Linked DNA regions of Nothobranchius furzeri. The protein of the gene in region 6 purifies or fractionates together with the protein of the main gene of each other region. This does not show direct contact. Links are inferred from orthologs where the notes say so. Each region holds a gene or a part of one and is shown on either strand. Other genes may lie near its edges. The genes, in order: rbx1, etv1, etv4, trib2, etv5a, cop1 and det1.

Region 1 (3,139 bases), on a different chromosome or scaffold from region 6:
ATTAAGATATGAACGTTTCTACAGCCATTTAATACGTGGTTTAACCTCTGTCTGTCTCTGAACACAGCCGAACTCTCACGAGCGTTGGCATGTTTTGTTATTAATCTGTTATAAATGCAAATAAAAGGATGTCTGTCTCACCCTGTTGGAAAAATATTCACAATAAAACTATTTAAAAACATTTTGTTCCATTTTATTGGTTTTTAAATTAATCTGATTATTAAATAAACTAAATTAAATAAGCATGTGAGTTATTTCATTATTCAGGCGGTATGTGTAGTCCAGACGTTTAATCCAGCTGTGCTGCTTGTTTTGTAGCTTGAGGATTACAGCCGTGTCAGATCTCATGTCATTCCACGTGGCTGTAGATGCTCGTGACTTTCGTCCCAACACAATGTACCTCATGAACTAAACTATGAAGGTGCATGGTTGAGCATATCATGTGCACTTAATCTAGTTTTACGACTTCAATTCAAATGTGATTACATCCTCCTGAAGACTGATGGTTTTACAGTTTATTGAATTACAACATAGCAAAACATGTAAAATAACATCTAGGTATATGAGCAGGAAGCAAAATGGAAAGTGAAAGGTTGATGCTCGCAGAAGCCAAGGAACAGGTCAATATCACAACTAGTGTCCGTATCTGCGAAAGAAAAAACGAAAATGTGTTTGAGTCAAGCATCAAACAATCCTCAAAATCATATATGCATTAATGGATCCGACTCACTTCTGAAACTCCCACTCCCTGTTGTCCAGGGGACACACCTGTCTGGTCTTCAGCCAACGGGAGATACAGTGGAAATGGAAGGCATGCTATGGAAGGTAAGGAAATGTTTAAACGACTGGATAGCAGTTTAACAAAGATGCAAAGACTGAAAAATAAGTGATCTGCACTTGTAGAGTGCCTTTCAGAGTCAAATGACCCATATCTATCATCCTACTGAAAGTTGCACCTTAGAAACTCACATTGCAGACACCCCAGGCCACAGTGCACTCTTCTGAGGTTGCAGAAGCTTGGTTGGCCTGGCACTCTATGCCTGATGAAGGATGAGGAATTGTGTAAGAGGGCTGCCAACAACTCACATGCAATCAAACACCCCTATGTGAACTTACACAGATCCATGATGTGGTTCCTACAGATAGCACAATTATCCACCACTATGTCCCAGGCCCACAGTGCAACAGCATTCCACTGGAACAAAAATCACATTCTGTTCATAGGAAGGTAACTTAAAATGAAGGACCTCATACCTGGAAATAAAAACCTTAATTCTATGGCTCATTGTAGGGTCTCTGACATTCAGTACTAATTCAAAGTTATCTTACAAATAAAGTTTTTCAACCTTTGATTAAAAAATGCTTCCATGGACACCTCAATCTAGAAAAGGAGTTAATTAAAATCTGATTAATAAAATCCTTCTCTATCAGTACCGTTACTTTTAAATTATGTAATGAATAGGAGAAAAAAAACCTTGTCATCAAAACTACTTAACATTTTATCCTGAGGAAATGTGACAGTCATTTAAATACTTTAAATCTTGGGAAATTTCGAGATGTACAGCTTAGCTGACTAAGCTAATTTAGCATGTAGACTAAGAGATTAAAGAGGTATTTGTCCATTTTTAAATCGTGCTGTTATTGTGTAACTACTGAGAGTTTATCATCGCTCTTATTTCTCTACAAGTTCTAGTTTAGACTTTAAGGCCATAAACAGAATAATGATTAATTATTTCTTGTAGCAGGCTAACAGCTAAACACCGATAACGGTGTTTAGCAAGCTAGCGTTAGCTAATGTTGGGCTAAACCTTTCGGCGTTGCTGACAAAGTGCACCGTTTAGTTTAGTCAACACAGACAAACTTTCAACTATCGTACCTTTTTCACTTCAAAGCGCTTCTTGCTTGCTCCACTATTTGTACCGCTTGGCGTGTCAACATCCATTGCTGCTGCCATTTTGAACTCTCCGGAAGCGTTTATCTAAGTTTTACCGGAAAATAGCGTCACTTCCTGTTCGACCAGATTAAGCAAATTTTCGAAAGAAAATATTATTTTCTTAATAATTTTTGAAAAAACAAAATCAGGTTGTATTTCTGAATTGTTACCGTTGACACTCTTAATATTTGAAGAAGTATTGGTTAAAAGGTCAGGTTCCACCGAGATTTGAACTCGGATCGCTGGATTCAGAGTCCAGAGTGCTAACCATTACACCATGGAACCCCTGCTTATTAACATTTCTCTGTAAAGAATTTGTTAAATCAATAGCACATGTATTGCTTTTATTCATTGCTTTTACACACCCTTAATTTCTCATGCAAAAAAAAAAAAAAAAAACTTCTCATGCTGTATAGAAAGGTGTATCTATCTGAGCTACACACTGCGTCATACTCATCACACTACTGTGTACCACACACTCCCCTAGCTACAACGCTGCAAATGAGCGAGAATGGGGAGTTGACGCCCTCCAGTGGCAAAAGACCAACATAGCAGACATAACCTGTAACATAATAGAAATGCGGTTCTTTATACTGGTTGTTCTTTGTATATAATAAACTTTTAATTCAATTACTTGCAATCTGTCGTTTTATTTGATTGACCTAAATAATGCAAATAAATATATCCATCAGAGTATTAAAACACCTGCGTACTCAATCCTTTAATTTGCGCTCTCTGCTGGAGAAATCGGGTTGCTGCAGGTACTACATTCATACAACTTAAAAATTACGATTTTTAAATTGGCGTTAAAAACACAGTTAGTATAAAATCGGAAAATACACAATAAAACAATTTAACTAATGAAACTTGATAAATGTATTTCAGTTATTCGTGTTAAACAAGATTAAATCAATAGGCTAAAGAAGCTAGCTATCAGCCCCACAAACATTCGATTATACGCCCACTGGCGGCCACAGGGCAAAACTACATCTACGAGAGGACTTCATTTGCTTCCCATTTGGAAGCATGGGCATGGCTGGCTTCGCTAAGATTTAGAGGGATTTTTATTCATTTTAAAAATGTAATTCTTAATAGGTGATATGAGATACATATATTTAGGTACTAATATTTTTATCAGCATGAGTTTGTCAAATCAAACCCGTCTGATGTAAAACTATTAGTTCAAGACCAATAAACACCCAACTA
Region 2 (2,648 bases), on a different chromosome or scaffold from region 6:
ACCGCAAAGCAAACAGAGTCGGTGGTAGAGTTGCTTTGCTATTAGCTAACCATTGGCAAGATGTTGAAGTTCCAGGAAATAAAGACTCCAAATCCTGCTGTTTTCATCTAGACTCTCCTCTGGCTAACTTCTACTTCCTGAAACGGGTGCGAGAGAGCTTTGTCCCCATAATGATCATCTATGTTTACACTAAAGACCACTGCAAATTTATTGAGAAAACGAGTTAACTTGGTCTTCAAGGAAACCCTGATGTTGTAATCCATTTTGCACAACCGCCGTGCATAACAACCTCCACATCTGTTGTGTTTTTTAATTTATTTTTCTATATTTGTCCAGTTTTACCTCGAACCCGTTGTGAGGTAAACATTGGCTTTGCGTGGCAAGCTAAATAAGAACGTAAAAAGTGTAAGAAAGTAAAATTAAAACCAAGGCTACGGTTGTTTTTGAAGAATGATGAACCATGTGTAATAAAGCTTTTCTCATCTTATATAAATCTTTGATTAATCAGATCATCACCACCTGCTGGCCCGGCATGGGTGCTGTTTTTAAAATAGTTCTAATACAAATGATGAGCAATGCGATGATTTATAAAATGGAACATGTTTTTCAGGTGGCGGGTGAGAGATACGTTTACAAGTTTGTGTGCGACCCCGAGGCTTTGTTCTCCATGGCATTCCCCGACAATCAGCGGCCGGTGCTGAAGACGGACGTGGAGCGTCAGATTAATGAGGAGGACACGGTGCCGCTGTCACACTTTGACGAAAACATGGCCTATGTACAGGAGGGGCCCTACTGCCAACCGCATCCCTACAGCGAAGGCTATGTTTATTAACGGCAGTTCCACCAACACACACACCCGAATACCCGTCTCCACTCGAGCGTGATGTCCAGCCTCCTTCATACACCCGAGACTGTCATGTCCTCTGATTCACAGTCGCTCTGGGATAAAGACTGAAAACACACAAACACGGTGGCACTTCCCTTCCTCGTAACTCAACATAAACACACACACACATATTCTGTATTCTGCTCTTGTCTTTCTGACGTCCAGAGAGTTGCACTTTACGGACAGGAACACGGTGGAAACCTACCAGGGTCAGAGTGGTTGGCGTTTTACTATTCTTTATGTTTCTACTGTGGAAATCTGTTTTTTTTTTTTGTTTTTTTCTTTTATTATTTGTCTCATTTGGAGCATGCGCCACCCCAATGAGACAGGACTCATTAGCTAATTTATGGCCAATAAAAAGCCAAATTCCTCAAACTTTGACCTCTTGCAAAAGAAAGCATCTCATCCACCCACCTGGAGCCAATCCACAGAGGAATCTTAGCTTTCCCATCACACAGACATCCAATACTGAAAGCGTAAAATCGCTTTCACGGTTAAGATTACCAACGTGTCATGTGACGTAGCCTCACCTCCACGCTGAGCATCGGTTCATCAGTGCTCTCCGACCCTCACACAATCAAACTGTAGATCTCAACCTGTTGGTGTTTTTCTCTTTAACAACACAGACTCCACCGGATCGTTCTCTCATCTGCTAAAAAATGACCCGTGGGTCGGTAAAGAGGCAACTTTGATTCACGAGGATGCTCTGGGATGTTCGGAGGAGACCCAGACTTTATCCCAAATCACACGTTTGATCAGGAGCATCGTGGAAGCTTCAGGTTGAAAAACACTCCGGCAGCAGAAATTCATTTGTGTTCAGTTTTTTTATACAACAAATAAGAGGAATGTTTATTGTACAGCTGAAACGGATCAAGTCAGGAAACCATCTGCATTCCTAAAACAGAAAACAAGATGAAAACCAATTGATTTCACTAGCATAAATAATAAAAGTCAAGAAAAACTACACGTCTATATTTTTTGTGAACTTTTTTCTGTTCAGTTCCTGGTGAACATGAAGTGTAAATTTTGTTTTGTTTTGTTTTTTTGTTTGTTTGTTTTTTTACTGTCGCTTTTGCAATTAATATGTTGGTTTTTGGTCAAACAAAAAGAGGAATTATTTAGAGTTTTATAATGTGGTGAGTTAAAATAAATTGTTATGTACCATGGCATAATCAGGTAAATGCACATTTTGTTGCTGCTTCAGTCTGTAAGTGTATTTTCTTTTTGAGTCTGGGGAAAAATCCAAAAAAAAAAAAATGAAAGTGTCCAGCAGTTTCAGCCTGCTTTCCTGGATTTTGTTGTTGTTTTTGTTTCTTTTTATTTTATTTTTTTATCCAAACAAGTCTGGTCTGTCGGGGTGGGGGTGGGGGGTGGCGGGGGGGTTGGATGTATTCTGGAGGCGAACGTGTGCGGAATGGGATTGGAAATAGAAACATTCTGTAATAAAATAGTTTCAAAAACCTAATTTATGCCCCATTTTCAAATATTTTTTTACACTAATCACCACCGAATGACTCTGTTATTACTGTTTGTAGCTTTCACTGCTTTTATAAGTCACGTGAATAATTTTTACTGAGATATTCTCTCCAAAACTTCTGAATTTTCTTTAGTTTTTTTTATATGAAAACAAGTTTAACTTCTCAAATTTACATGTAGACCAAACAGATTATGGACTCTTGCCCATTTTTACTTAGTTGTGAGAGAAAACCACAAAGTGTTTAACCTAAATGACACCTGAGGAAAAATCAATGCCTAATTTAAG
Region 3 (3,500 bases), on a different chromosome or scaffold from region 6:
AATGTTTAAACTTCCCTGTGGATTCACTTATTCTAATTTATCATTTGTAAGAGGAAGTTAACTGAGAAACATATTTTGTTCTTTTTAAACACAAGCAGTCACCCTGAGTTTCACATGCAGGTTAAACATTTTCTTCATTCCCCTTCTCCCTTTCAGCCACAGACCCGCGGTTGGATCAGAAAAAACATTCCCTTCTACGTCACAGAGAGATATTTGGATTTATGGACTCACCCACCGTGGGTGCAAGTGCGGAAGACTGATAATGATTTAGCAGCCCGGAGAGAACAGAGCACAAGTCAGCTAGTAGAAGCTAACCGTTAGCGTTAGCAGCACAACCACACGGCAGAACTCTTTGTCTCCTTTAAAAAGCAGCTTTTCTCCTTTAGCTGAAACTCACCTGTTCAGGCTGGCTCTGGTGTGACCTTCATCACCACCCTCTCCTTATGCTGCTCTTCTACCTATTCTGCCTTTCCCAGGATTCACTGATTTCCTTTTTTCTTATTCATTTTCTCTCTCCCTTTCCTTACATTTCTTAATCACTATTTACTTATTCTTTTCTTATTTTAAATGTGTCCTTAATCATTTTTAAAATCTTTTTTATATTTAATTTTTTGGTTTTGTGAAGCGCCTCGTGATTTTTTATCTTGAGAGGCGCTATATAAATGTTTGTTTTCTTTTTTCTTTCTTTCCTCCAGGCTTGTTGTTTATGCAGATAAAACGTTGTTATATTTTTTTTACCCAAGAACAAAGACAAATGACAGCAGTGGTAAAGTCATGTTGCTTTTAGCCAAACATTCTATACATTTAAATATCATGAATATGAATGCGTTAAATCCTGCCGTTTTCTACCTTCCACTTCTCCAACCAACGTCTACTTCCCGAAACAGGAGCACGAAACTTTGTTCCACAGAAAGGTTTACATGGCGTCATTTATACTGTCCTAACAGATGATTAAAACAATTAATAAAATGTTACAAAAGCAGAAGTCACGTGAAAGTGGAGCTAATTAATTACAATGTTTTGAGCAAAATACGCAAATAAATTGAAAGGCCCTCAATAAAATCCATCTGGTGGTTCTTGAGATATTTTTGCTAACAAACACGCATGCGCAAACTGACTGCATGCATCAACAAACCCCTCAGAAAATCTAGTGACATCAGAACATCCTCACGAATCGCCACATCAAAAGCCTCATTCATGCCAACCCCACCAGCAGTGGCTCGTCATGCTCTATGAGGATTGTTTGTAGTTCATGACCAAGCCTGAGAACAGGATGAACGTCAACAGACAAACACGGTTGTATTATTAGAGTGGTGGTCATGTGCCACCCTCCGTGTGCACCAGCAGACGGTCTGTCGGCGACTCGGAGGAGGCCGGAATCCCCACCACGTCTGTCTGGGAAATCTGGGTAAATGCTCTCTAATCCTGTTGATCCCAGGATAAATCCAACACTTCCTCACCTGCCTGCCTGCCGTGGGAGAGTGAATACACACCAAAAGCAGGAAGCTGCATGACTCTCTCGTCACTTTAATGTGTTTATAGTTTTGATGTTAAACAGGTTCAAGTGAAATGGGAAAGTCTAAATCAAATGTTAAAAGTTTTCCTTAGCAAAATGGAGTAGAATTCTTGGCAAGCGTTTGCGTTTTTGTAATTCTGGCAACAAAAACAAGAAAATGTTGTGAATGTCAGGGAGTTTTCTTTGCTCACGTTCTACCTCTCAGCCATTTTGTGTTTTGTTCAGCGAGCCAGACGTTTTTTTCCTCGTCTTTTTGTGAATGGACGACTCTGCTATGTAATTACCTGGGCTGTGCTTTCAGTGTGGCCTGTTCTGTTAGCGCCACACCCACTGCACACACACACACACACACACACACACACACACACACACACACACACACACACACACACACACACACACACACACACACACACACACACAATCAAGCAAAGACAGACAAGCTAACATTTCATGACGCTAACACAACGTGCACGCTCACATGAAGGCATGCCTCCCCAGCTGGAAGTGCACAGCTGCTGCTGTTTACCCTGTCGGGACCAGAAAAACATCCTGTACAGTTCTCTGGGTGAAAACCTCCCCTCGCATAATAAACACGAGCCCTCTGCACAGTTTGAAGCTCCACTTTGGGTGGTTTCTGTGGCCATCAAGGCAAAGGTCCCCTCCAGCAGTCCAGCTTGATGGACACTTCAATATGTTACAGATTAAGTGGACTCCTTTGGGTCAACATTAGATACTTAAAATGTTTGTGGCATCCTTAGATTTCCTTGGTTAACGCTGAAGTGATGCAAAGCCCCGTATGCTCTTCTGAAGAAGGTGTAACGTACACTACAAAGGTGTAACATTTTAGCTGCTGTTGTGTCTGGAAGAGCCAAGAAAAGTGTGGGAAGGAGGCTTTGGACTTTCAAATGACTGCTGGAATGCAGTTGTGTGCAATGAAAGCATGTGTGTTTTTGTGTCTGTGTTTATGCAACTGTGTCTTAGACGTGGCTGTCTGCTGCATTGTGCTGCTGCTGAAAGTCGCTTAAGCATTTTGGGTTGGCACAAAAGACACATTCCTGCACAGACAGGAGATTTAGTTTTGACTCGGGCTGACGGTAGTATTAGGGCAGGGCTGAATCACAAAGGAATCTTGCTCACGTCTGCTTTCTGTTTGTTGTCTCCTGCAGCAGTGGCGTTTCATAGTCCTCCAGTCACTATCAAGAAGGAACCACAGAGTCCAGGATCTGACCCCAGCCAGTCCTGTAGCCACAAACAAAACTTCAACTACCCCAGTGGAGAGCAGTGCCTTTATGCCAGGTACCCCCTCATTTTTGGTCATTAAAGGTGCGATTTATAAAAATTCTACAGTGAAATAATCACAAAACAGTCTAATATCATGTTGGAAGGAAGGGTATACTGAAACAGATTTTATTCTTAGCTGGCTGTGGGATTGTCTGTTTTTATCCTTTTGAAGAAAAATAAACTTTTTTTTTACACTCTTAAGAGTTTGTGAGGTTGCCGAATCTTCAGCAAGCATTTGTATTTCAACACCAACAAGCAAAAAGCTCCAGAGTGGTTTAAAGAACCAAAGCCAGTAAACAGGAGTGACCCAGAAGTTATTTCTTGAACCCCTAAGAAGCCACACGGTATACTCTAATATCAGCTAACGTTGAGCTTACAATGCTAATGGTGGATTTGAAGCAAATGTTGTGTCAAAAAATATCTCAAGCTACTTATTCAATTCCCAACAAATCAATATTACAGTGAAATGTATGCGTGAAGGGAATAATGAGTCTATTGGTGCGTTTTACTTCCTTTATTGAGTCATTCAGAAAAGCAAGCTAATAGTAAAACGGTAAATTACCACACTTCCTGTAATGCTGGAGACAAATTACCATAATAAGTGTCGTAAGTGCTCCCTACAGGAAAACGCCTAAGAATTCTAACATCAGATATGACTATATTTATTATCTACTTACCAACTTCCTGTTGACTCATCTTC
Region 4 (4,101 bases), on a different chromosome or scaffold from region 6:
TAGAGGTGGCCATGGGTCCAGAGAAAGGTTGAAATGCTAAATTGATCTTCAGGGCCACTCTGGGAAAGTGTAGTGATGCCATAAATGCTCTTTTATTCGTTTTCATGAAATAATAATAATAATCGTACTACTACTACTACTACTACTACTACTAATAATAATAATAATAATAAAACATTATTTGACTCTGGTCTTCTCTGGGTGTGGGCAGTGGAATGGCCAGCAATTTTCTACCCTTGGCCACCCCTTAGGAGCGCCACTGGCGGCTGTTTTCTGTCTGTTTTCATGTGAACTAGCAAAATCACGCGTGATCTTGCAATTCATTCATAATTTCGCGGGACCAGCTGAGTGGGACACATTCGCAGATACCAGTAGAAAAGAATGCGCCTCACATAATAATCTCTTCACTTTTGGCATTAGTAGTTTGCAAATGTTGTTATTTTTGAATATAATAAACATGAGAAACACGAGGCTCACCAAAAGCCAATGTTGACGTCTGAAGCGGGTGATTATATGCTACACCGGCGTGCCTTACCCCACAGAGCGTGTAACCCCCCCTCCCTCCTCTGTCGGCAGCGATGGTTGGCAGGAAGGCAGCCTGCTCCCCCCGAACAGGCGCAGTGAGATCGGTGTGTGTGTATGTGTGTGTGTGTGTGTGTGTGTGTGTGTGTATGTGTGTGTGTGCAGCTCGGCTCCGCTCTGAATGGACTAGATTCCCGGCCACGTAAGAAGCACAGCGGTACCACGGGAGAGAGGATGTCCTGCTGAATCAAGGGATTGGCCTGGGAAAGTCGGCCGGCCGTCCCTTCCTTCCTTCCACAAGCCTTCAGCAGCATCCACACAGCTCTTCATTTTTCTTCCTTTTGGACCAGACGGAGGAGAAAGAGTGTTGACTCCCGCACACAAAGAGCCTCGGCAGCAGCAGCAGCAGCGGTCTTTCCGGATGGGGCTTTCTCCTTGTATGCTACATGACAATCACCGTGCACGGACGTAATCCCGGGGAACAAGGCCGTGCACTGACCCGGCGCTCGTTAGCTTTGTAATTAGCTCGGGAAACCAGCTTAATTGGATTTAAGCGTGTGCGTTTTTCTCGTTTCCCTCTCCTGAATGCCAGGCGGTGTCCATTTTATTGTTTCCGTTTTATGAAACGTGTCAGACCGTTCACCGACACCGGATAAACTAGCGGACTCTCCATTGATTCCCGGAGCTAACTTTTGATAGCCTTTGTCTAGCCTGCTTCTTCCCCCTCCTCGGTGAAGCCGCGCCGCGCTGGTTGAGCACTCAAGCCGGGGGGAACGTTTTATTTAATTGATCTCACGAATGTCTAACAAAGGAGGAGGCAGATGAGCATCGGGGGGGAAATAACACCCTTTTTCGCCTGTTGACGTCCTCTAACAGCAGGTTGCAACACATACACAACATTCGCATTTTGAATCTACTTCATCGAACTCCCCAAGTGAAAGGTTAGGTAAAGCGGTGCTGTGCCCGAGGGGAAGGCTTCAGTCTGCAGGAGGCATCGCACTTGTTCCTCATGAACATACAGAGGTCAAATCCAATTAACATTTCGCGTTATGGGAGATCGCGACACAAATCGCACGATTTTGAGGAGTTGTCTTGTTTGAGGACTACAGAGTCGCACCAGAGCTTCAGTCCCAACCTCGGCTCTCCCAGCCCGCCGGAGACCCCGGACACCTCGCACTGTGTCTCCCGCATCGGGGACTACCTTTTGTTGGAGCCGCTGGAGGGGGACCACGTTTTCAGAGCCGCCCACCTGCACAGCGGGGACGAGCTGGTGTGTAAGGTGAGCATGCAAACCCCCCCCCCCCCCCCCCAAAATAGCCACCTGAAAAACAAACGAGCAGTTTCATGCATGTTTTATTCTGGAACCATATTTTATTTTTGCTCATTATAGCCGATCTTTATGCACATCACCCGAAAATGTAGCTGAAGCAGAATAAAAGTGCAGACTTGGATCCTCCAGAGCGGCTGCCACATGGACTTTTTAATAATTGCTTGAATTGTAAATAGAGAGCTGGCAGAGCAGCCTAATGGAAACAGTGAATGGGGTGAGCTGTGTGGTTTGGATTGCATGATGTAACGTTGACAAAGGAGTGAGTAACCACGCGCACACACACACACACACCTCCGAGCCATTCTGGCTTACCCAGTGGCTTCTCACTGTCAGCTACAATGCTGGAGTCATTGATTCACCTCTGGATTTAGATTTATGAACCGAGTCGTGCGTTGCACACTTTGGACCAATATTCTCGTGACATGCAATCCTGCATGGTAAGTTAGAAAGGAAGCATTTATTTTTTCAAATCCACTGAACCTTGCAAGGTGGACTTTCGCTACCACATTTATACGATGTTTAATCATCTGTGCTGCTGATAATCAGGGTGGAGGTTACTTTGGAGAATCCCAGCCATAATCTGATGCACGTTGACCGATTCATTGAAACAGCTGCACACACCCTTGGACCCATAAAAGCCTGACATTTCCGGTAGCCGGCACCTTTCTGACTTGAGGTAATGTTATGTCGTTGCCGTGACAGGCGCCCTGCCTTATGAGCTAACTGCTGTTTGACCTCGTCTGCTTTGCGTCGACCTCGATACCGCAGCAATCAATCCCCACTTCCCGGGATTGATTATTACTGTCAGGCCGGCAGCTCGGGTCTCTCATGAGTTAAGATCTCGAGACCTGTGGGGTGTGTTTTTTATCGACTGCAGGCAGAAGGAGCCCTCTCACCTGAACTGGTTGTACTGAAAGTCAATTGGGGGTTGCTATGGAAACAAAAGAGGTACTGCAACCTCAGGCTGCAGCACAATGCCATGCAGTAGTATGATGCTACTTACTCCCTCTCCCAAAAGGAGTAACTCTAGTTGGCTGCTATGAGAGGGACTTTCTGTCCTACAAGGAAAATCTGAAATTCTGTCAGCTGGAATTTTTGTGTCCGCAACGGGGAAGGCGAAACGTTTTGCAGAGTCATTCTTAGATCTCCAACAACAATATCAGGATTCTTACTAAAGAGAACTGTTTCTAATTTGAAATCGTTTGCTCTCTTGTGCAGGTGTTCGACATTGGCCGATACCAGGAGTCGCTGGCGGCCTACTTCGCCTTGGGCCAGCATCAGCACATTAACCAAATCCTGGAAATTCTGCTCGGGGAGACGCGAGCCTACGTGTTCTTCGACAGGAGCCATGGCGACATGCATTCTTTTGTTCGCACCTGCAAGAAGCTGCGAGAGGATGAAGCTGCCAGGCTCTTCCACCAGATAGCCTCGGCTGTGGCACATTGCCATGACAACGGACTGGTCCTCCGTGACCTCAAACTGAGGAAGTTTGTCTTCAAAAATGAGGACAGGTAAGTTTCGCGGAAACCGTTAGGGCCGCTGTGCCTGGTGGCTTTGTTGTTTTTTTCCGTTTGTACATTCTGTTCAGTGAAATTTCAATGGCGTCTGTGTGATGTCATAGCTCAGCTTACACAGAGGATGTTGTAAACTGAGACTGTACAAGAGAGACGTTCCTTCTCTCTCAAATGCTCTTTTGTGTGTGTGTGTGTGTGTGTGTGTGTGTGTGTGTGTGTGTGTGTGTGTGTGTGTGTGTGTGTGTGTGTGTGTGTGTGTGTGGTTTATTAGTGGAGATATTGCACACACACACCACATATGTAGATGAAATTACACGGGTGTCATCTTCACCCCCATAACTCGAGACCGGCACTGCCGTTGAACCGAACAGCGCGTTCAGATAAGTTACCTTACCGGGACAAGCCGACGATCACTGGATGAACCAGAACCCCGTGCTTTCACAATGCAAGTTCTGACCTCTGGTGGCTGCTATTAATACCTGCAAACATAGACATCTGTTGCTACAGCAACCTTCTTATTTTAGATGCTAAGTAACCTGTTTTTATCATTTTTGATCACTGCCATGTGCAAACACCTGCCGTGCGGCTCCACAGATGCACCGTGTGCTTGTTTGGGAGTGTGGTGTCATTCGTTGGCACATCCAGTGGAAAATGGAAGTGGAGCTGCCTCGCATATTTAGTAGAGGTCCAGTAACCTTCAAAGCTTTTAGACTGAGATGCACGCCTCCTCTTTAA
Region 5 (4,141 bases), on a different chromosome or scaffold from region 6:
TCTGTCATTTCTGTATTTTAATTTTGAAAATGTTGTTCTAATTTGTAATCGTAATTTTTCTTCCTTTTCTCCCATTTTCGATGATGATATTTTTTCTTCATTATTTTTTATTGTTCTGTGAAGCACCTTGTGGTTTTTGTCTAGAGAGGCGCTGTGTAAATTATCCTTTCTTCTTCACCACCGGGGACTGACCAGGATTAGCAGAGGTGTGGACTCGAGTCACATGACTTGGACTCGAGTTAGACTCGAGTCATTATTTAAATGACTTCTGACTTGATAAAATCTATTAAGACTTACGACTTGACTCGGACTTGAACACCAATGACTTGCGACTTGAATCGACTTGCATCTGTTGGCTTGATGATGACTTGAGCATATTTGATATTTTAGCACAAAAGTGGCACGACATGGGCAAGAATCATGAATCATTGTTCGTTCTGGGTGTGATCTTGGTCTGCTAAATGCAGCAGCTCTTTGTTTATAATCAGTTTCTGCTTGTTTGAGCAAATAAAAGAAGCTTTAAGAAGCTTTATTTCTGGAATTTATTTATTATCATTGTCATTAAATAGAAGTTGGACAGATGACTTGATTATGACTTGAAAATTCAGTTCAAAAGTTAAGGACATGGACTTGACTTGGACTTCAAAATCATTGTGTTTGGACTCGACTTGGACTTGGTTGTCTTTGACTTGGACTTGACTCCAGACTTGACTGGAAAGACTTGTGACTTACTTGTGACTTGCAAAGCAGTGACTTGGTCACACCTCTGCATATTAGTGACCTTAATGGGTATGAGTGAGTGTGTCTCATTTGTCTCTGTGTGTCCCTGTGATGCACTGTAGACATGTCCAGGGTGTCCTCCACCTCCTGATAACTGACAACACCAGAGTGAGTGAGTGAAAGCTGTTCACTAAGTAAAAGTATGACCTAAAGTACTTCTTCATCCCATCCCGGGGATGATGTGACATACTTTAGTTTCTACTTTGGTGTCATTGATGACACCCTCTGCCTAGGACTGCTTGAACCGCCAGCTCTCGGCTACAGGGTTGTTGTCCGTGTGCTGGAGCTGAGGGAGTCGGGGGTGTTGACGTGTAGCCTTGGCTCGGCTCCTGGCCCTTTAACAAACACAAGCAAGCAGCGATGATTGAAAAAAAATGTGAATGAAATCCAACCATTCATAAAAAGGGACGCCACTGCCTTGTGATTGGGCGAACCGCGCCTCGCGCATAAATTAAAAGCTACCGCGCCATTGGCTGCTCGCTGAACGGACAGACTGGATCCGCCAATCACAGCGTGTCTCTGCGTGCTGCTCGCGCGCAGGGAAAGCGTCGGGCCGTTAGGGTTTAGGAAAAGCTCAGTCTAGCTGAGTGAGTCCGAGGAGACGCATCGGTGTGTCGGCGGCAGGCGACGCTTTTGTTTGTGGATATTTACAGCGAACTGTTGACGTGTTCAGGAGGTTTTTATTCACATAACCAGGTAAGTTTCACCATTCTTACCACAGGCTTTTAATACTACACTGTTGTTTAGTACAGTTTAAGAATACTACCAAAGTACTACAGAGAAAGTGGCTTTTAAGCCCTTAGTGAGCCCCTCTGAACGGCTTTGGCTCTGCTGCTGTCCGTCCATCAGCGCTGTCAGGAGCCTGTTTGTGATTTTTATGAATGGAGAGCCATCGACACCCCCACCCCCACCGCACACGGCTTCACACGGATCGAGTTTCACTTCATTGACAAAAACAAGGGAGGCTGGGGGTGGGGGGGCTGGCTGAACTTCGGCCCAGGCCAAAGTGGTGCAGCTTCTTTTATCTGGACTCGGATCTAAAAAGTCCATAAAGTTGTTGCTCTTTATGCATTTTTAGTGGTTCAGTCTAAAAAGACCCTAATTATTTTACATCGTTAGAATAAAACGCATAAATAAAACCTAAGCAGCATCTGCTTGGAGCTATAGCTGGTCAGAGTTTGGACTATAATAAGTGCATGGAGCTCCATGAAGTGGTGCCTGTAATTATTTGCCCAGCAGCCACTCTTTATTGGTCATTCATTAACAGAGGAGTGAGTCATGTCACTCTGCTGAGTGAGCTGTGAGAGGAGAGGAGCGGCCTCAGCTCGGTGTTTCTAAAGAAAACCTGTAGAAATGTGCAGCGGAGGGGAGAGGGAGCCAAGTGTAACACTCTCACAACAATAGCTCCAAGCCTGTTGAAAGCACTAATCGCTTCTCTGATCGGCTTCTTTCTGTTTGAGAGGCTTTGTGATGCAGTTGATGGCACGGTTTCCTCAGTGGGACGCTTCTTCCAAGTGCTTCACTCCAGATCTTCCAGCTGATTACAGCAGACCATAGCTGGAGCAGATGGCCGGAGAGTGCTGCTTATGTAACCTGTGTGATCCTGCATGACTGTGTGTTGATGTTTGCTGGATGTGCCTCGGTTCACAGGCGTGTTGGTAGGTTAAATAAGGGGGGATGATGGTGGCCTTGTTGTAGCATCAGAGTGGGACGCAGCTCCACGTCCACATTCCTGTGTAACGAGGCCAGATCAGTGTGAGGACTCGGGCTTCATGTCAAGGTGAACTGGAGTTTCTTCGACTCTTCTCTGTGCTGCTGGATGAAAGGTACCGGTGGAGTCAGGTGACACTTTTCTTCTTTGTTCTCTCACAGGAGTTTACCGGTGCCGGTTTAAAACAAACACCCCTCCTCTCCCATTAGTACCAGAACCCCTCCAGAGTCACCATGGACGGCTTCTATGACCAGCAGGTCCCTTTTATAGTTCCACCCAGCGTAAGTGGACGCACTTGTCACCACATGAGGGTGGGGGTGACATCCTCTGTTGTAGGTTGTGACCTGACGTTTCTCCTTCTGCTACTTCCCAGCAGCAGAAGTTGCATGTGGAGGAATCGTCTCACGGCTCGTCCCTGAATGACCGAAAGAGAAAGTTTGTGGAGACGGAGCTTGCCCAGGACACAGAAGGTAAGACGGCTGACTCAAACACGGGTTCATGTTCTTTACGTGACATCATATCAACATCTTTTGACCCACAGAACTGTTCCAAGACCTCAGTCAGCTGCAAGAGATCTGGATCGCTGAAGGTACGATCAGCATGTTCTGTCGCTCTTCATCATTGGTTTTCAGAAGCTTCCAATTTTTTGTGCAGTAAATGCGACAGTAGAGCGGTTGTGTCTGAACAGGAGCGGCCGCAGCTAGATGTGCTTTTGGCAGCTCGTACAGAGATCCTCTCTGCTCACGACTAAATGAAATTGAGCAACTTTGACCTCTTTAAAGTTTAACTTTGTGAGAATATCAGACGCCGCTGTTTTCAGCTGGCAAGTGGAGCAAGAAGAGCAAAGTCCTGTTGATGACAAAGTGCTGACCGAGATCTTTTTTCAATTGCTTCACACACACACACACACACACACACGCGCGTCGGTGCTGGTGTGTGTCTTCCTGACGTTTTCTACACCTGTCTGTACCTTCACAGCCCAGGTGCCTGATGATGAACAGTTTGTTCCAGATTTCCAGTCAGAAAACTGTGAGTACCTGATTGTTCCTCCTCCTCCTCTTTGATTTTTACCTCCTCGGCACCATCCTTGTCCGGATTTGCGGGTCGGACCGCAGCTCAGGGAAAGCCTGCTCTTTCACTCCTTTCATTCTCCCCCATTTTGAGTTTAATCAACCGATTGACATGAAGCATCACATGAGCCGACTTCCTAATCTGATTTCACACTCCTTTGCACTCGGCCCCTGCCGTTGCGCTGCCTCTGGATTGGGCTACGTGCCAGTAGTTAGAGCTGTTACAGTTCTGCTTTACACACCGTTAGCCTGCGGAGAGTCATGTCCGGTGCTGCTTCTTACTTTTTAGTTTATGTTTTGGTCTGATTGGTGGGAGGTGGAGATGGGGTGTGGCTAGTGTGGTTTATCAGGCTTCAAACAACCCTGCAGCTTCTCAAGTCTGTGCTTGTTTCTATTCAAGCCCTCTTCCAGGTAGTGAGCGGCTGTGGGTTCACGCTGAGGTAACCGTCTGGTGCTGCTGGGGGGCCTTTTCTCCAACACATGATTTATTACCCTAAGGCACAGTGAAGCGCTCCTTTGCTTTCACCTGGAGGATGTTAATCCATCCACCATTACTTACTGCTCAGGGGAGCTCACGTGC
Region 6 (3,500 bases):
GTATGGAACGGTGATCCAGGATGCTGTAGACATCCACTACCCTGTCAATGAAATGACGTGCAATTCCAAAATCAGGTAAAAAATAAACGAATTCAAGAGGAACTGAGTTTTAGCTTTTAATCAGATCAGTACCCTACACTTTAGGCAGTGATTCATCAAATGACATTTTATTATCTCAAATTGAGGATCTGCTGAGTTTCCATATCAAAATGATACTTCATCTTCCATTGCAGCTGTATCAGCTGGAGCAGTTATCACAAGAACCTTCTGGCCAGCAGCGACTATGAAGGGACCGTCATTCTGTGGGATGGATTCAGTGGGCAGCGGTCCAAAGTGTACCAGGTGTGACTCATGCACAGCTTTTTACATGATGTTGGGTTTTTTTCTGCTTATTATAACTATGAATATTTTTGCTGTGACGGTTTTCTGAAGTTTGACTTCCATATTTTTAGGAGCATGAGAAAAGATGTTGGAGTGTTGACTTCAACCTGATGGACCCCAAGCTCCTAGCCTCGGGTTCTGATGATGCTAAAGGTAAAAGAGGATTTCATATGATTTATCTGGGGTTCTCGACCACCAGAGTTCTAAATGAAAAGGAGATTTGCACATGTACTGTTATTGTACCCCTTCAGTCACGAGTCAATAAACGCTCATATTTTCGGACTTTTTCCGCGATGCGTTCTTTGATCTGTTCTGTGTCTGCAGCTAAGTATATATTTTATACTTTTTGAGGGGGCAGTGGCGGGGCCGTTGACAAATTTAAAGGAAGTGGCATCCTGGCCAATCACAAGCTTGTGGTCTCCGTCACTTTTGACGGATATATAAAAATTTGGGCATGTGTCCAACACCCTCTGTGAGCCTGTTGAAGAGCCCTTGCAGCGACGCATAATGGCGTTGCGTGACTCAGCACAGACAGAGAAGTGTAAGGCCGGGGACACACCAGCCGCCGAAGCGCCAGGAGGCGAAGCGCTCACAAAATTTGGCCTCGGTTCAGACCAGACGCTTGTTTCTCCACTCCGGTCGAGGCGCGCCTCGTAGTTTTTCTTTTAACCACTTGGTGTCCTCCATTTCCTCTCTGCCTTTTCTCTGCACTTTTCCTCTACACCCCCCTCCCCCCTGCTGTTTGTATGTGTGTTTGTACGTGTGTGTGTGAGAACCTATGGTGTGAACCGGTTGTTAATAGCTGGCCTACGTCTTTCTGCCTCTCTGTCCTGTTTGCTCCGGTTGAAAGACACCCAAAACCACACCCCCTTCACGTGGTCACACACACACAAGTTCGCTGTGTGTGTGTGTTTGTGTGGTTTTTATGCAGTGTCTGTTTACGAACACAGTTGACGATCACGGAATTGTATTTTGAAATGCTTTATTTTGTTAAATTTACCGGCCTGCCTCATGTCTAGGTTTGACTTCCTGCCAAAATTGACGCGGTTCACCCGCGGCTCGCAAAAAAAATAGAGCAGGCGCCAAAACGATCGCTGCACGGCGTGGGCTGGAGCGCCGGCGCTTCGGCAGCCCATGTGGTCTACAGAATAGGATAACAAGGGCGCCGAATGAAGGCGGTCCCCTTTTCGCGGCGCTTCGGCGGCCGGTGTGTCCTCGGCGTTAATCAGACTTAATGGAGGCAGGTGATTTGCTTTTCCAGCTGTCTGGTTTAAAATACCACCAAACGACAGACTTTTTCACCAGCCAGTTAAGAAATTTCTATCTCGGAGTGAATTTAAAGAGTCGTGTTTTTTGTTTTATACGGGTAAATCTGATCTTTTCCACCTGATTCCAACCCTGTTTAAATCGTGTGATCGGTTCACAGCATCCCTCAGAAAAACTTAAAAAACATCAACAATGTATAAATTTAGCATGGGGCTCCGCTGCTTTTTTATCTAAAGTGTTTATATTGTTTACCTGTTTTTTTTTCTTTAGTTAAACTGTGGTCAACCAACCTGAACAACTCAGTGGCTAGCATCGAGGCTAAAGCTAACGTCTGCTGTGTTAAATTCAGCCCAACTTCCAGATATCATCTGGCCTTCGGCTGTGCGGGTAAGACGGAGGACTGGTTTTGTTCAAACACTCCAAACTGATTCTAACAAAAGTTTTCCTTCTTGAATAATGTGTTTGTGTAATGTTGGCAAACTTTAAACTTGTTTCTCTCTCATTTTGATGTATTATTATTGTGGTACTCACCTCCCACCACTGTTATTTCCCCTTGAAGATACTAAATTTCATCTGTGGTTATGCTGACTCTGGTGGTCCAGACAAACTTCTGAAAACTCTGTTCATTAGTACCCCACAGGAGAATAAGAATTGTAATAAATATTCAGGTATGCAAAGGAAAGTATTTCCCATCACTAACACTGGATAACAGCTTAAAACAAGCGGAGCAGAACTCTGTTGCTGAGAGTTGTCCAGGCTCGTTGACACTTCAGCGTGTGTGTCTGAGGTCCACTGGCAGAAAGCCGCCTCCTGACCCTGGAGTGGTCGCTCAAGGAAGAAAAACTTCAGTTTGAAAACAGTTTGGAAAGAAGGAACATTTCTTATTGGAAACGCTAACTTCAGCACAAAGCAGCAAAGACATTGCATCATAACTTTACTGTGTTACAAGAATAAAAGCCCCAGATTGTTTATTTTTAACTCGTCCTGCTTCTAGATCACTGCGTCCACTACTACGATCTTCGCAACACTAAGCAGCCAATCATGGTGTTCAAAGGCCACAGGAAGGCCGTGTCCTACGCCAAGTTTGTAAACGGAGAGGAGATTGTTTCTGCGTAAGTCACTTAGGTTTACTTTCAGCCGTTTTTACTGGGATTTATTTTGAAAACGGTGAATATCAGAAATTATTAACTGTAATTTTAATGCAGTCAAATGTTCATTAATAAGGAACCTAAGTCACGCCCATCTGCTTCCAGACCATGGGTCCCCAGAAGAACGACGATGAAGATGCAAGTCAGCGGGGCTAAAAACCTATTTTCTCATCCCGCTTGCTATGTTCCATGGATTTCACATATGGTGTCCGTGAATTTTAAAGACGCGTTTTTTTATACCAATTACGTGCTTATTTTTGAACGGGGGTACATTTTATTTTAGGTTTTGTGTGAAAATAAGTCCAGGACTGCAAATACGCTTCACAAAAGTGACACCATCAAACCAGACACTGATGCTATCAGTAGCTTTAGCAGCAGAGAGAGAGGTAGTGCCAACTCAGCGACTTTGTCGCTGTTCCTAACGCCTCGTGACAAAGCTAGCTACATTTCTGAGGACCCTTAGCAACTTTCTTCTAGATAATTCCTGCAAATTAGCAACAAACTAGCCCTTTGAACATCTTAGGTGTGTTCTTGCTGTGCGTTATTTCTAATTCCATGTCGTCGTTCTATTTTAAAACACAGAAACGGTTTTGTTACATGTTATTGACGCTACAGTTTCGCCGACGGCTGCCGGCTTCTTCAGGCTGGCGCTGACAGCGTCCATCAGCGTCAGCCTGAAGAAGCCGGTTGATTTTGAAGCCTGAA
Region 7 (4,194 bases), on a different chromosome or scaffold from region 6:
GGTTCACATATGCTGCATGCTGTTATAAACAAATCAATTAAACAAATTACGCCAAACAAACGAGGCTGTCATACACACTGTAGGTACAGGAGCCGAAGGTCGGCTAATGTTGTTGTTTTTGGTTTTTTTTTTTTTTATTCTTTCCTGGCTGTTTAGTCAAAGCAATTATAATCATATTCAAAGTTTTCCGGGGCACTTGTGCGTCTCACCTGCTAACCCACCCACTGATCAGTAAATTGGCACCTCAGTGAGAACAGCAGGTGTACGTTTGCCCCAAATTTTGGCCACAATGAGGCTTTCCTCAAAATGAATCCCACTGCAATTACCCACTTGAGTTCAGTAAAATGGTGCACAAGCATCCCTGGATATTTGGAATATATTAGTTTAGAATAATAGAGAAAACTAATTTTGGTCATATTTTATTGTCAATGCAGGTATCTGCTGGCTGTGTTCTGTTTTACTTTGACCTTATTTACAGCAGGTCTGTGCGCAGAGGTGGAAAAAGGTGTGGCAAGAGATTTCAGCAGGGGGTGGAATTTGGGTGTTAAATGTCAGATTTCTGTACAAATATACATATAAAACAATTTATATTAAATACAAACAAATAGTTTCTCCTTGTTTACATATAATCTACTAGTAGTTAAATGTTCATATGTTGTGAATTTTATTAATTCTGGCATAGTAATGATGCTTTCTATGGGACATGTTGATAAAAACCCACTAAAGCCTGAAACATTAAATTATTATTAAACCTACAATTTTAAAGACTGAACTATTTATTGTCAAATATTAACATAACAGAATAATGATTGTGTCATTCTAAAACAATATAACAGTTTTAAGAAATTAAATTGGCCCTTACCACCTGTAAATCTTCCACCAGGGGGCAGTAGACATGTTTTGGCCTGGATATGGCAGGTTCCTGAGGAAGGTACTAATCCTGATGCTCCATCTGGACCCTATAAGACTAGTGTGAAAATATTACATAAGACCAAATAATATATAGTACGTATTGTAATTAACAATGTAAATAAGCAAAATTACTTCTCATTATTTTATAATTTCATGATGTGAACAAATTTCTATCTATTTTCATTAGCCCAAAAGCTTTTATTTTCAGCATTTTTCGGTTACCTATGGAGCTTTTCTTCTCTACAAATATAACTAAACTCAATTAAAAGTCACAATGAAATGTAAAATGCTATCAATCCTTCTGAAACTACCCCTCCTTCCTTTATTTGAACGCTTTCATCAGCTGACGTCTCCACTTCCAATATGGCGGATCTGCTGACGCATCACTGCTTCCGTTTGAGCCCTCTTAGCTAGAGACTGCAGTTTCATATTTCGCCACTAACGGAGGTGGCGCTGCAGCGCTCTGCTCGGTTCTTTTTCGCTTTCTTTTTCAGCTTTCTCAACAACAAACCGAAAGCGCATCCAAAAGCGCAAAAACAGCCTGGAAAATGTTAATAAACCCGATTTTTGTTTAGTTACAGTTTGACGTTAGAGGCTAAATGATGCTGAACGTTTACGTTTGATGAGAGAAGAAAGCCGAGGAGCGGACGGTGAGTTATCCAACTTGAACAGCTGTTTAACGGAACATAACTCCTAAATGAGACTTTTGTTTGCTGGGATTCGGTCAGAAGGCTCTGTTTTAGGCTCTAAAATAAAAAAGAAGAGCTGTAAACGTCTCGGTATTGAGATATATCACAGAGCAGATCATCTGTGCTGATGCTGGTGTGAAAACTACGCTGAAAGATTCTGATCAGCTGTTCTGCTTTCAGAGCCTCCTTCACAGTTTGACACATTTTAATTTGTTATATTATGAAATATTGTATTTTGGCTAAAATCACGTGAAATAAAACATTTTTCTCTTTAAATTGTCGTGACAACATGTCATAAAACCCCCAAAAACATCAGATGCTGCAACATCTTGAGCTCTACCCTCTCACAGGTAATGTGATGACCCCCCCCCCCCCCCCCCCCCCCGGTTTATCTACAGATGGACGTTTGAAGCCATCCCTTAATGTCTGCGATGGAGGACACCCCGACTTTAAAGCCCAGGCACATCCAGAATCAGAACGTGGTCCATCGTCTGGAGAAGCGGCGGATCTGCTCCGGTCGACCCGGATCTCACTGGTACCGAGTCCGCTGCTTTCACCAGAACCTATTCCCTAACTTCACCGTGGTCAACGTTGAGAAGCCACCGTGTTTCCTCAGGAAGTTCTCACCAGACGGGCGCTACTTCATCGCCTTCTCGTCTGACCAGACGTCCCTAGAGGTTTCATTCTCACACCATCACGAAACACATTTTTGTCTCATCATTGACAGATTCCCTTTGTTTATTAAGTTTACCTGAAACCAGAACCCAAGTAAGAGCATCTAAATGCTTCTGTAGATCTATGAATACCAAGGCTGCCAGGCTGCTCAGGACCTTCTCAGAGGTCAAGAAGGAGAAACACTTTCAACCGCCAACGACCAGCGCTCCCTCAACATCCGAGGCCGCTTGTTTGAGCGCTTCTTCTCGTTACTTCATGTCACTAATGTGGCCTCAAATGGAGAACACCTGAACCGGGAGTGTAGCCTGTTTACAGACGACTGCCGCTACGTCATCGTCGGGTCGGCGGTTTACGTCCCTGAAGAACCACAACCGTACTTCTTTGAGGTAAGATTCCTAGTTTCTTATTGGTGGAAATCTGTTCGCCTGCTTCTCGTTCCCACGTTTGTTCTCCCACCAGGTGTATCGCAACAACGAATCAGTGACCCCCAACCCTCGGTCTCCTCTAGAGGACTACTCTCTGCACATCATCGACCTCCACACCGGCAGGCTGTGTGACACCAGATCTTTTAAATGTGACAAAATCATCTTGTCTCACAACCAGGGGCTCTACCTGTACAGGAACATCCTGGCTGTGCTGTCGGTGCAGCAGCAGACCATCCACGTGTTCCAGGTGAGCTCACCTCCACCATGCACTCTGTAGTGGAGGTTGTTGTCATGTGAGAAGATAAAAGCTGCGCTTCTGCCGGTCTTTGTTCGGTGAACCCTACTCCTTCGTTCAACGACAGCATTCGCAGCCTGAAGCGCCAATGCAGAAAAGTTGAGCGTTTGTGGAGGAAAACCCATCTCCACGTCCATCTGCTGCACCTAAAGGATCTTCTGACATCCTTTAACTCTGCAGTCAGAGACGCGAGGGTTGTCTATTTCTCCAACCTGGTGTCCCAGAGCAAAGGGAACCCCAAGGTGCTGTTTAACACCATCAGCAGCATCGTCTCTCCTGCCTCTCCTACAGCCTCCATCCACTCTGTTACAGACTGTGAGAACTTTCTGTCTTTCTTTGTGGACAAAGTCAATAAGGTTAGATCTAGCATCTCTCCTTCAGCCTTATCGCCGCCTCTCCCGACTCAACCAGGCCCATCATCCTAGATGGCTTTGCTCCTGTTTCTTTGCCTGAGTTAACCAAACTAGTTATCTCTATGAAGACCTCTGCATGCCCCCTCCACATCTTACCCTCATCTTTGTTTAAAAGTGCTTTTCAGTCCATCGGTCCCAGCGTGCTCTCTATAATTAATGCTTCTCTGGTCTCTGGTCAGGTCCCTGCTTACTTTAAGAACGCTGTAATCCACCCGTTTCTTAAAAAACCGAGTCTCGACCCCTCTCTCCATAGCAGCTTCAGACCCATCTCTAAACTTCTGTTCATCTCCAAGATCTTGGAAAAGGTTGTGGCTAAACAACTCACAGCTGCTCTTGATGAACATAGCTTCTATGATAGCTTCCAGTCAGGTTTTCGTAGAGCTCATTCTACTGAAACAGTTCTTCTTAGGGTATCTAATGACCTTCTGACTCACAGTGATGCAGGGGACTGTTCTGTTCTGGTCCTGCTGGACCTGACTGCAGCCTTTGACACTGTTGACCATCACCTGCTACTGGAGAGGCTGAGAGACTGGGTCGGCCTATCAGGATCTGCTCTGGAGTGGTTCTCCTCTTATCTTTCTGAGCGCTCCTTTTCTGTGGCCGTCTCCAAGTTTAGGTCCTCCACCACCTCTCTTACCCATGGTGTCCCACAAGGTTCTGTGCTGGGGCCTCTGCTCTTCCTCCTCTATCTGCTTCCTCTTCAGCACATCCTGAGCTCCTTCAACGGAATCTCCTACATCTTTATGCAGATGACATCCAACTGTACATCTCCTTTAAGCCCCATG

What was found.
Region 1: the proteins of cop1 (region 6) and rbx1 purify together in Homo sapiens (affinity purification with western blotting; 3 studies listed by BioGRID, with this or other methods). This does not show direct contact. The link is inferred for Nothobranchius furzeri from reciprocal best matches to the Homo sapiens genes COP1 and RBX1.
Region 2: the proteins of cop1 (region 6) and etv1 purify together in Homo sapiens (affinity purification with mass spectrometry; 4 studies listed by BioGRID and IntAct, counting the BioPlex papers as one, with this or other methods). This does not show direct contact. The link is inferred for Nothobranchius furzeri from reciprocal best matches to the Homo sapiens genes COP1 and ETV1.
Region 3: the proteins of cop1 (region 6) and etv4 purify together in Homo sapiens (affinity purification with mass spectrometry; 5 studies listed by BioGRID and IntAct, with this or other methods). This does not show direct contact. The link is inferred for Nothobranchius furzeri from reciprocal best matches to the Homo sapiens genes COP1 and ETV4.
Region 4: the proteins of cop1 (region 6) and trib2 purify together in Homo sapiens (affinity purification with mass spectrometry; 4 studies listed by BioGRID and IntAct, counting the BioPlex papers as one, with this or other methods). This does not show direct contact. The link is inferred for Nothobranchius furzeri from reciprocal best matches to the Homo sapiens genes COP1 and TRIB2.
Region 5: the proteins of cop1 (region 6) and etv5a purify together in Homo sapiens (affinity purification with mass spectrometry; 6 studies listed by BioGRID and IntAct, counting the BioPlex papers as one, with this or other methods). This does not show direct contact. The link is inferred for Nothobranchius furzeri from reciprocal best matches to the Homo sapiens genes COP1 and ETV5.
Region 7: the proteins of cop1 (region 6) and det1 purify together in Homo sapiens (affinity purification with western blotting; 11 studies listed by BioGRID and IntAct, counting the BioPlex papers as one, with this or other methods). This does not show direct contact. The link is inferred for Nothobranchius furzeri from reciprocal best matches to the Homo sapiens genes COP1 and DET1.

The regions. Positions count from the first base shown.
Region 1 is NC_091752.1:65,786,479-65,789,617, forward strand, and holds rbx1 (E3 ubiquitin-protein ligase RBX1), read right to left. Parts: upstream 2,013-3,139; 5' UTR 1,955-2,012; coding exon 1,877-1,954; intron 1,196-1,876; coding exon 1,117-1,195; intron 1,041-1,116; coding exon 970-1,040; intron 817-969; coding exon 731-816; intron 647-730; coding exon 634-646; 3' UTR 501-633; downstream 1-500. UniProt on the Homo sapiens protein: E3 ubiquitin ligase component of multiple cullin-RING-based E3 ubiquitin-protein ligase (CRLs) complexes which mediate the ubiquitination and subsequent proteasomal degradation of target proteins, including proteins involved in cell cycle progression, signal transduction, transcription and transcription-coupled nucleotide excision repair.
Region 2 is NC_091745.1:64,421,082-64,423,729, reverse strand, and holds the end of etv1 (ETS translocation variant 1), read left to right. Parts: intron 1-610; coding exon 611-832; 3' UTR 833-2,148; downstream 2,149-2,648. UniProt on the Homo sapiens protein: Transcriptional activator that binds to DNA sequences containing the consensus pentanucleotide 5'-CGGA[AT]-3'. Required for olfactory dopaminergic neuron differentiation; may directly activate expression of tyrosine hydroxylase (TH).
Region 3 is NC_091756.1:48,943,716-48,947,215, forward strand, and holds part of etv4 (ETS translocation variant 4), read left to right. Parts: intron 1-2,685; coding exon 2,686-2,815; intron 2,816-3,500.
Region 4 is NC_091742.1:22,438,211-22,442,311, reverse strand, and holds the start of trib2 (tribbles homolog 2), read left to right. Parts: upstream 1-1,301; 5' UTR 1,302-1,531; coding exon 1,532-1,801; intron 1,802-2,147; exon of another isoform or gene 2,148-2,274; coding exon of another isoform or gene 2,275-2,289; intron 2,290-3,070; coding exon 3,071-3,363; intron 3,364-4,101.
Region 5 is NC_091754.1:36,794,264-36,798,404, reverse strand, and holds the start of etv5a (ETS translocation variant 5a), read left to right. Parts: upstream 1-1,341; 5' UTR 1,342-1,476; intron 1,477-2,427; exon of another isoform or gene 2,428-2,560; intron 2,561-2,652; 5' UTR 2,653-2,724; coding exon 2,725-2,772; intron 2,773-2,864; coding exon 2,865-2,961; intron 2,962-3,032; coding exon 3,033-3,080; intron 3,081-3,469; coding exon 3,470-3,520; intron 3,521-4,141. UniProt on the Homo sapiens protein: Binds to DNA sequences containing the consensus nucleotide core sequence 5'-GGAA.-3'.
Region 6 is NC_091751.1:60,919,457-60,922,956, forward strand, and holds part of cop1 (E3 ubiquitin-protein ligase COP1), read left to right. Parts: coding exon 1-75; intron 76-233; coding exon 234-342; intron 343-452; coding exon 453-534; intron 535-1,917; coding exon 1,918-2,034; intron 2,035-2,641; coding exon 2,642-2,759; intron 2,760-3,500. UniProt on the Homo sapiens protein: E3 ubiquitin-protein ligase that mediates ubiquitination and subsequent proteasomal degradation of target proteins.
Region 7 is NC_091744.1:82,952,409-82,956,602, reverse strand, and holds the start of det1 (DET1 homolog), read left to right. Parts: upstream 1-1,394; 5' UTR 1,395-1,562; intron 1,563-1,999; 5' UTR 2,000-2,023; coding exon 2,024-2,278; intron 2,279-2,395; coding exon 2,396-2,662; intron 2,663-2,735; coding exon 2,736-2,948; intron 2,949-4,194. UniProt on the Homo sapiens protein: Component of the E3 ubiquitin ligase DCX DET1-COP1 complex, which is required for ubiquitination and subsequent degradation of target proteins. The complex is involved in JUN ubiquitination and degradation.